Linked DNA regions of Oryctolagus cuniculus. The protein of the gene in region 2 interacts with the protein of the main gene of each other region in a pairwise test. Links are inferred from orthologs where the notes say so. Each region holds a gene or a part of one and is shown on either strand. Other genes may lie near its edges.

Evidence for each region. The genes of interacting proteins can lie anywhere in the genome.
Region 1: the proteins of GFAP (region 2) and UBASH3A interact in binary tests that used the Homo sapiens proteins (3 or more experiments, as listed by UniProt). The link is inferred for Oryctolagus cuniculus from reciprocal best matches to the Homo sapiens genes GFAP and UBASH3A.

What each region holds. Positions count from the first base shown.
Region 1 is NC_091435.1:3,148,231-3,151,875, forward strand, and holds part of UBASH3A (ubiquitin-associated and SH3 domain-containing protein A), read right to left. Parts: intron 1,238-3,645; coding exon 1,029-1,237; intron 1-1,028. UniProt on the Homo sapiens protein: Interferes with CBL-mediated down-regulation and degradation of receptor-type tyrosine kinases. Promotes accumulation of activated target receptors, such as T-cell receptors, EGFR and PDGFRB, on the cell surface.
Region 2 is NC_091448.1:18,168,053-18,172,397, reverse strand, and holds the start of GFAP (glial fibrillary acidic protein), read left to right. Parts: upstream 1-1,445; 5' UTR 1,446-1,466; coding exon 1,467-1,927; intron 1,928-2,782; coding exon 2,783-2,843; intron 2,844-3,051; coding exon 3,052-3,147; intron 3,148-3,718; coding exon 3,719-3,880; intron 3,881-4,345.

The DNA of each region.
Region 1 (3,645 bases), on a different chromosome or scaffold from region 2:
TGGAGGAAGGGTTCCTTATTATGTAGTGACGGGGAGTGGGCATGGGAAGTGGAACTTTTTTTTTTTTTTTTTGACAGGTAGAGTTAGACAGTGAGAGACAGAGACAGAGAGAAAGGGCTTCCTTCCGTTGGTTTACTCTCCAAATGGCCGCCATGGCCAGTGCTGTGCCGATTGAAAGCCAGGAGCCAGGTGCTTCTCCTGGTCTCCCATGAGGGTGCAGGGCCCAAGCACTTGGGCCATCCTCCACTGCCCTCCCTGGCCACAGCAGAGAGCTGGCCTGGAAGAGGAGCAGCCGGGACTAGAACCGGCGCCCATATGGGATTCCGGCGCCACAGGCGGAGGATTAACCAAGTGAGCCACAGCGCCAGCCCCAGGAGGTGGAACTTGTAAGTGGTGAGGCTGGTGACGCAGCCACGGATACTTCTACTCATAGCAACCAAGTCTCGCCTGGGTTCTTCCTCCTTGTGGGACCAAACTTAACCCTGCTGATGCCAAAGGCGCCGGGCTGAGAGACCCTGGCCGGGCAGGACGCCCCAGGGATCGGCAGCTCCCAGGAATGACTTCCACCACCACAGGTGAGACCCTGGCCCCGGCCGACAGCTCGGTCACGGCTCGTGCGGTCCTGAGCCGGGGACCGGCTCAACCCGTCCTGGCTGCGGACCCGCAAGCACTCTGAGAAAGGGTCCCGACTGATTCAGCTGCTGCACGTGTGGTCAGTTGTCCACGGCAACAGAAAACCCACAGTGCACCGGGCTTCGCTGCTCACACGCCAGGCAGAGGGATGGACGAGCCGGCGGTTGTGCAGTGACGTGGGGGTGGGGGTGACTGCCTTAGGCAGTAAACATGGAATCATTCGCTTTTTCTAAACACCATCGGCAGAAGCCTCAGACCCATCGAGGAAGCCCCTGGGTTCCTAGGACCCAGAAGGCAGCTGTGTGAGTGACGGGGCGTCTGGGGCGCGTGGCCGCTGTGGCCCCCGCCAGACCGGGGCTCAGGGAGGGCGGGGCCGGGGGCGGGGCGGCGCTCACCTGTGCTTCACCCAGGTGTCGGCCTCGCTGGCCCTCTCCGTGTAGTTCTGCGGCAGGAAGCCGCGGCAGCCGGTCCGCTGCGACGTCCCCACGGCCCAGCCCTCGCTGGCCTCCTCCTGCTGCGTGGGGTCCACGAAGATGTAGTCGCCGGGGCTGAGCGCCAGCTCGTCCTCGTTCTGCGGTTCGTACCGGAACAGCGCCCTCAGGGTCTGGAAAGTGGAGACTGCGCTCACGTCTGGAGCCGGGGCCTCTGTGGGGCCCTCCGTGGCAGGAGGCCGGCTCGGGGCCGGCATCGGGGCTCGGCCGGGGTCCCCGAGACCCCACGCGTGCCTTTGTCTAGTGACACGTGACAGAGATGATGGCATGGAACTCTCCGGGGAGACTCAAAAATAAGTTTTGGTATCTATGAGGGCACTTTGAGAAGTCTGTGAGAAGGAGCCAGCCCTGTGGCGTAGCAGGTAAAGCTGTGGCCTGCATCTCATATGGACGCAGGTTCGAGTCCCGGCTGCTCCTGTTCCGATCCAGCTCTCTGCTGTGGCCTGGGAAAGCAGTGGAAGATGGCCCACGTGCTTGGGTCCCTGCACCCACGTGGGAGACCCGGAAGAAGCTCCTGGCTCCTGGCTTTGGATCAGCCCAGCTCCAGCCGTTGCAGCCATCTGGGGAGTGAACCAGTGGATGGAAGACCTCTCTCTCTCTGCCTCTCTGAAACTCTGTCTTTCAAATAAATAAATAAATCTTTTTTAAAAGTTTGTGAAAAAGGGGCCAGTGCTGTGACGTCGTAGGCTAAGCTTCCACCTGTGGTGCCAGCATCCCATATGGGCGCTGGTTCAAGTCCTGGCTGCTCTACTTCAGACCCAATCCCTGCTAATGGCCTGGGAAGGCAGTGGGAGACGGCCTGGGAGCTGGGCCCCTGCACCCACGGGGGAGACCCGGATGGAGCTCCTGGCTCCTGGTCCAGATCGGCCCAGCTCCGGCCGTTGTGGCCATTTAGGGAGTTTCTCTCTGTCTCTCCCTCCCGGTCTGTAACTCCGCCCCCGAAATAAATAAATAAAATCTTTTTAAAAAAAGTTTGTGAATAAATGGTACAAAAAGATGGTGATTCTGGTGCGAAATGACCACGCGCTTTCCTCGCCACACGTATTTCTCAGGAATACTGAAGACCCCCGCGCCTGCTCGCTGTGCGTCCCGCGCCCTGCGTCCACGCACTTGGCCGTTTCTTACATGAAGGCTCTGCTCGGGTAACCAGGCATTCACGCGCGTTCACGTCCACAGGTCCACAGGGGCTGGCGTGGTGGCCCAGCCGGTTAAGCCGCCACCTGCACTGCCCGCAGCCGTGTGAGCGCTGGTTGAATTCCCAGCTGCTGACTTCCCATCCAGCCCCCGGCTAACGCATCTGGGAAGCATGGATGACGGCCCAGCCCCGGCCACCCACGCGGGAGTCTGGGTGGAGCCCGAGCTCCTGGCTTCCGCCCGGCCCAGCCCTGGCTGTCAGTGCCATGTAGGGAGAGAACCAGCAGATGGAGGGGCTCTCGCTCGCTCGCTCTCTCTGACTCTGCCTTTCAAACAAATAAATTAACATTTTTTGTGACAGGCAGAGTGGATAGTGAGAGAGAGAGACAGAGAGAAAGGTCTTCCTTCCGTTGGTTCACCCCACAAATGGCCGCCACAGCCGGTGCACTGTGCTGCTCCAAAGCCAGGAGTCCGGTGCTTCTCCTGGTCTCCCATGAGGTGCAGGGCCCAAGCACCTGGGCCATCCTCCACTGTACTCCCGGGCCACAGCAGAGAGCTGGCCTGGAAGAGGGGCAACCGGGACAGAATCCGGTGCCCCGACCGGGACTAGAACCCGGTGTGCCGGCGCCGCAAGGCGGAGGATTAGCCTAGGGAGCCACGGCGCCAGCCAAAAAACATTTTTTTAAACAGGCTCCCTCAGCTCTCCCGTGCACAGGGCATGGTGGATTCTCCGGTCCTAGTCCCTGGTCCATGTGGTTCCTTTCTCAGCCACTCGGTTCGCAGGGCAGAAGTCCTGGAGACGCACCCCACCACCACGCGGCTCGGTTCCGTCACCAGTGGGCTTTCTGAACCGGAAGTGCCCCCTTTGTCCTGGGATCTCCGTGCACCTGTGGCTCGTGTGTGTGGTGTGTGTGTGTGAGATGCTGACTTGCAGTTGCATGAGGACGTCATGCTTGTAGAGAGAGAGCTCCTGTCTTCTACCCAAACGTCTCCCGTGGGGGCCCAGGGCAGTGCCGTCGGGGTGGCTGTGCGCTTACTCGCCTCCCATGGTGAGAGCTGACGGAGCCGCACACACGGGGCCCACATCCCACCAGGGCCAGTGCAGCACACACACGGGCTCACGTCCCACCTGGGCTGACGGAGCCACACACACGGGCTCACGTCCCACCTGGGCTGACGGAGCCGCATGCACGGGCCCACGTCCCCACCTGGGCTGACGGAGCCGTACACATGGGCCCATGTCCCCACCTGGGCTGATGGAGCCACACACACGGGCCCACGTCCCCACCTGGGCTGACGGAGCCGTACACACGGGCCCACGTCCCCACCTGGGCCGGCACAGCCACACACATGGGCCCACGTCCCCACCTGGGCTGACGGAGCCGCA
Region 2 (4,345 bases):
CCCCTGTCCATCCCCCAGCAGGCTCCAAGGTCACTGCATGTCCCCTCCTTAAGATCCCGCTCCTCCGGTCACTGCTCAGGGCCCGGGGTCAGATGTGGGACAGCTTTGCTCTGGGACACACAGGGGGACCTCAGCAGCAGCCTGCCACGTGTCACACGTCCCTGTGTGTTGGGAGGGAGGGGCCTGGGACTGAGTTGGTGCTGAGGGCTGCGGGGGTGGGGGGGCAGCCAGGCTTTTCTGCAAGTGGGGCCTTTCCTCCCTGCCCGCTGAGTGACTCACCTTGGCACAGACACAATGGTCAGGGCGGGCACCCGGCCTGCACCCCGCTGCACCCCAAGTCCCCGCAGATGCTTTCCGAGAAGTGCATTGAGAAGGGGCTGTGCTGCACCCCCCCCCGCCCCGGCCTGACAGCCTGGCATCGTGGGATAAAAGCAGCACAGCCCCCTGGGGGCCGCCCTTGCCGTGCAGCGCCCTCCCCGGCGCCAGAGAACAAGGCTCTGTTCAGCAAGTGCCCGGAAGACGGGCCAGAGGGGCAGGGGTGGCGGGGAGGCTGCAGGGGGGAGTCTGCTTCCCAGAAGTCCCAGGACACAGACGACGAGGGGCCTGGCGGGCTCCGGCCCTGTGCGAGCAGAGTGGAGGGGTGAATGGACCTGAAGCTCAAGGACAGCGGGGTCCTGGCCCCAGCCCCTTGCCCCCCTGCATGCCCCAGTGGCTTCTGGGTCCCCAGAGCCACCCAGCCTGGGATGCCTTTTCCGTCTTCTCTGCCTGAAGCTTCGGAACGCAAAGGAGATTAATCTCGAGTGGGAGAGTGAGGGCCGCCAGGGAAACAGAAACAGAGCTTCCCACGGGCCAGCCAGCTCATTCGTAACTGCTTTGTAGAGCTGTCTGGGAGGCCAGGGGAGGCGGGCGAGACCGCGGGAAAGGGGCTGCCCATCTGCCCCAGCCAGCCCGCCACACTCCCTCACTCCCTCGCTCGTCCCCTGCTCCATGAGACACTGCAGACAAAGAGCCGGGGGTGGGGGGGGCCAAGCCTGCAGGCCGATCCCAGGAAGAGGGAGAAGGCTGGACCATGGGGTGGCCGTGTTCAGATGGGGGATGCCAGGTGCGTGCTGGGGCTGGGGCTTTTCCTGGCCTGCACGGCCCGTCTGTGCTTCATTAAATTTAAGGCAGGCCCTCTAGGATGGAGGCCTGGGTGAGCGCTCAGAGCTCTGGAAAGCAGGTCCTGCCCCTTCCTAACCCACCTTCCCAGAGAAAGGGTCTCCCCGCTCAGAAGTCAGGGCTTCAGGCCCAGGCAGCACAGCCCCGGCCAGGAAGCAGCGCCCTCACCCTCGGTGGGGAGAGAGGAGCGCATCCCATGGCTGGGCTGCAGCCCAGCCCCACCCTCTCAGGCTATGCCAGGGGGCGTTGCCCCTCCAGCCAAGGCTCCATAAAGCCTGCAGCCCAGGAGTCGGCAGAGCTGGGCCAGGATGGAGCGGAGACGCATCGCCTCTGTTGCTCGCCGCTCTTACACCTCCTCTGCCGAGATGGTGCTGGGGGGCTCAGCGCCCGGGCGCCGCCTGGGGCCCGGCGCCCGCCTCTCCCTGGCCCGAACATCTGTTCCACTCCCGGCCCGGGTGGACTTCTCGCTGGCCGGCGCACTCAATGCCGGCTTCAAGGAGACCCGGGCCAGTGAGCGAGCCGAGATGATGGAGCTCAATGACCGCTTTGCCAGCTACATCGAGAAGGTTCGCTTCCTGGAGCAGCAAAACAAGGCGCTGGCCGCCGAGCTCAACCAGCTGCGGGCCAAGGAGCCCACCAAGCTGGCCGACGTCTACCAGGCTGAGCTGCGGGAGCTGCGGCTGCGGCTCGACCAGCTCACGGCCAGCAGCACCCGGCTGGAGGTGGAGAGGGACAATCTGGCGCAGGACCTGGGCACCCTGAGGCAGAAGTGAGGACTGGGCACAGGGACCGGGCCCGCAGGCGGGGAGGGAACGGCTGCTGCCTGCAGAGTCCAGGACAATGGGGCTCTGCCCCACTGCTCCCTCAATTCCCCTCCCTTTGCTCTCCAGCCCGATGGGAGGGTCTCAGGGACCCTCAGCACCTCCCCACTGGGGAAGCCGAGCCAGCAGCCAGGGGCCCGGACTGTGTGGTTCCTTCACTGGGCCTTGGGACCACAGTTGTGGAGCTCATCTATTCTAACCCCCCCCGGGGGGGGGTCTCTCTAAAGAAGGAACTGGAAGAGAAGCTGGGGTCCCTGCGGAGGATTGGGTCTGGGGGACAGGAAAGAGTGGGCAGGCCTAGGTGCCAAGCACAGGTGACTGCCCTGGCCCGGGCTAGTGACCCCAGTGGAGTTGCTCTGCCCCCCCCCCCCCCCCGCAGCTGGGAAGCAGAGAGCATCAGAAAACCCATTTGCAAAGGCAGTTCCCCGGGCTCGGAGGAAACCCCAGGGCCAGGGGCACGGGCCTTGCTGAGCCAGCAGGGCAGGTGTGCCCTCGAGGGCAGGGCGATGCATGTGTTTGCCCATGCGGAGCAGGTAGACGCTCGTGGACGCGCCTGTGTGAGCAGGAGCAGGTGCAGCGACCCTGGCAAGGCACTTGAGTAATGAGTTAAAGCCAAAGCCCTTGGCTGCTCACCCTCCGGGCCAAGGCCTCTGCAAAGGCCGTGGGTGGCCCTTCCTCCTCCTGTCACTCTGGGGCTGGGAGGGGTGTCTCTGAGCCAGTCACCCCAGGGAGGTTGGGGCAGGGGTCCAAGAGTCCTCTGAAGAGCCTGGACCCAGGAATTGTCTCCCCCACCCCCACCCCAGGCTCCAGGATGAGACTGAGCTGAGGATGGAGGCTGAAAACAACCTGACCACCTACAGACAGGTCAGAGGGGGGAGGGGAGGCGAGGGGAGGGGCATCAGAGGGGGAGGGGAGGGGCGGGGCAGCCCATCCAAAACACAGCCCCCAGCCCAGCCCAGCCCCCAGAACCATGTGCTGTTCCCCCATCCCAGGAGGAGGGGCGAGGCAAAGCCGGGCAATAGGGAAGAGGAGTCTGGGGTCAGAGTGGCCCTTTGCCCCCTCCACTCTCCAGGAGGCGGATGAAGCCACCCTGGCCCGCCTGGATCTGGAGAGGAAGATTGAGTCCCTGGAGGAGGAGATCCAGTTCCTGAGGAAGGTCCACGAGGAGGTGAGGACGGGCGGCGGGGGAGTGAGGACGGGCGGTGGGAGGGGTCCAACATGGGCCTGCGGCTGGGAGACAGACAGAGGAGGAGGGAAGCAGTTGTAAAAAAGCAGGAGTAAGCGCGAGAGAGCGCTCGACGCCAGCCTCTGTACACGGCCGCACTCCCTTTCTGAGAACAGGCCCGCACAGCCCCACGACACAGGGCCCTTCCAGAACCATCTACTTTTCACCGAGCACAGTGGGACCCAAGGGGCTAAAGAACATGCCAGGGTCACACGGTCAGTCCCTCTGCCTCTGTCTCCGGGAGAATGAGAGCCATCATGTATTTAAAGAAAAAAAAAATCCCTCTGCACGCTGACCTCAGAGCCGCGCATCAGAATCCTTGGCCCCAGGGGACCTGGCGACCCTCAGGGACATCCCTAGCCTCAGCTGGGCCACCTCCTCCCACAAGGGCTGCCCGGTTTCCCCTGGCCAACACCCACGGCTGAGAGACAGGCAGAAGCGGGTGCGATGCTGTGCAGAACCCCAGCCGCAGCCCGGGCGCTGAGCCGGGGACCCCTTCTCTCCCCCTGGCCAGGAGGTGCGGGAACTCCAGGAGCAGCTGGCCCAACAGCAGGTGCACGTGGAGCTGGATGTGGCCAAGCCCGACCTCACAGCAGCCCTGAGAGAGATCCGCACGCAGTACGAGGCAGTGGCGTCCAGCAACATGCACGAGGCCGAGGAGTGGTACCGCTCCAAGGTAGCCGGAAGCCGGCTTGCCTCCTCCAGGCAGCCCTCCTTGTTCTGTTCAAGAGAATGAAGCAAGGAGGGTAGAGGAATCTGGGTGGATGTGCCCTCTGGGTGACTGGCCTTCATCAGAGAAGCGAGATAACTTGCCTAGGGTGACACGGGCACAATTACTCCAAAAGTACTCACGTTATTATTGCTGCTGTTACTACTGTCAGCCAACATTGGGGCATGCCAGGCCACTCAGGAGCTGCATTCTCCTGCCAGTGTCCCGAGTTCCTGAGCATTCACCGCAATGCCAGGAGCCTCCTGGGGTACACAGAGGAGCCTGGCGGGGAGATGGGATGTGGACCCAAATATGACCCCACAGAGACCACAGCGCAGTGTTTCGAGGCAGTGTGGGACCCGGGAGAGATGTCATGGCGAAGTGGCATTGGGGCATTCGGGACAAGCAGACCATGGATGAGTGGATGGCGGG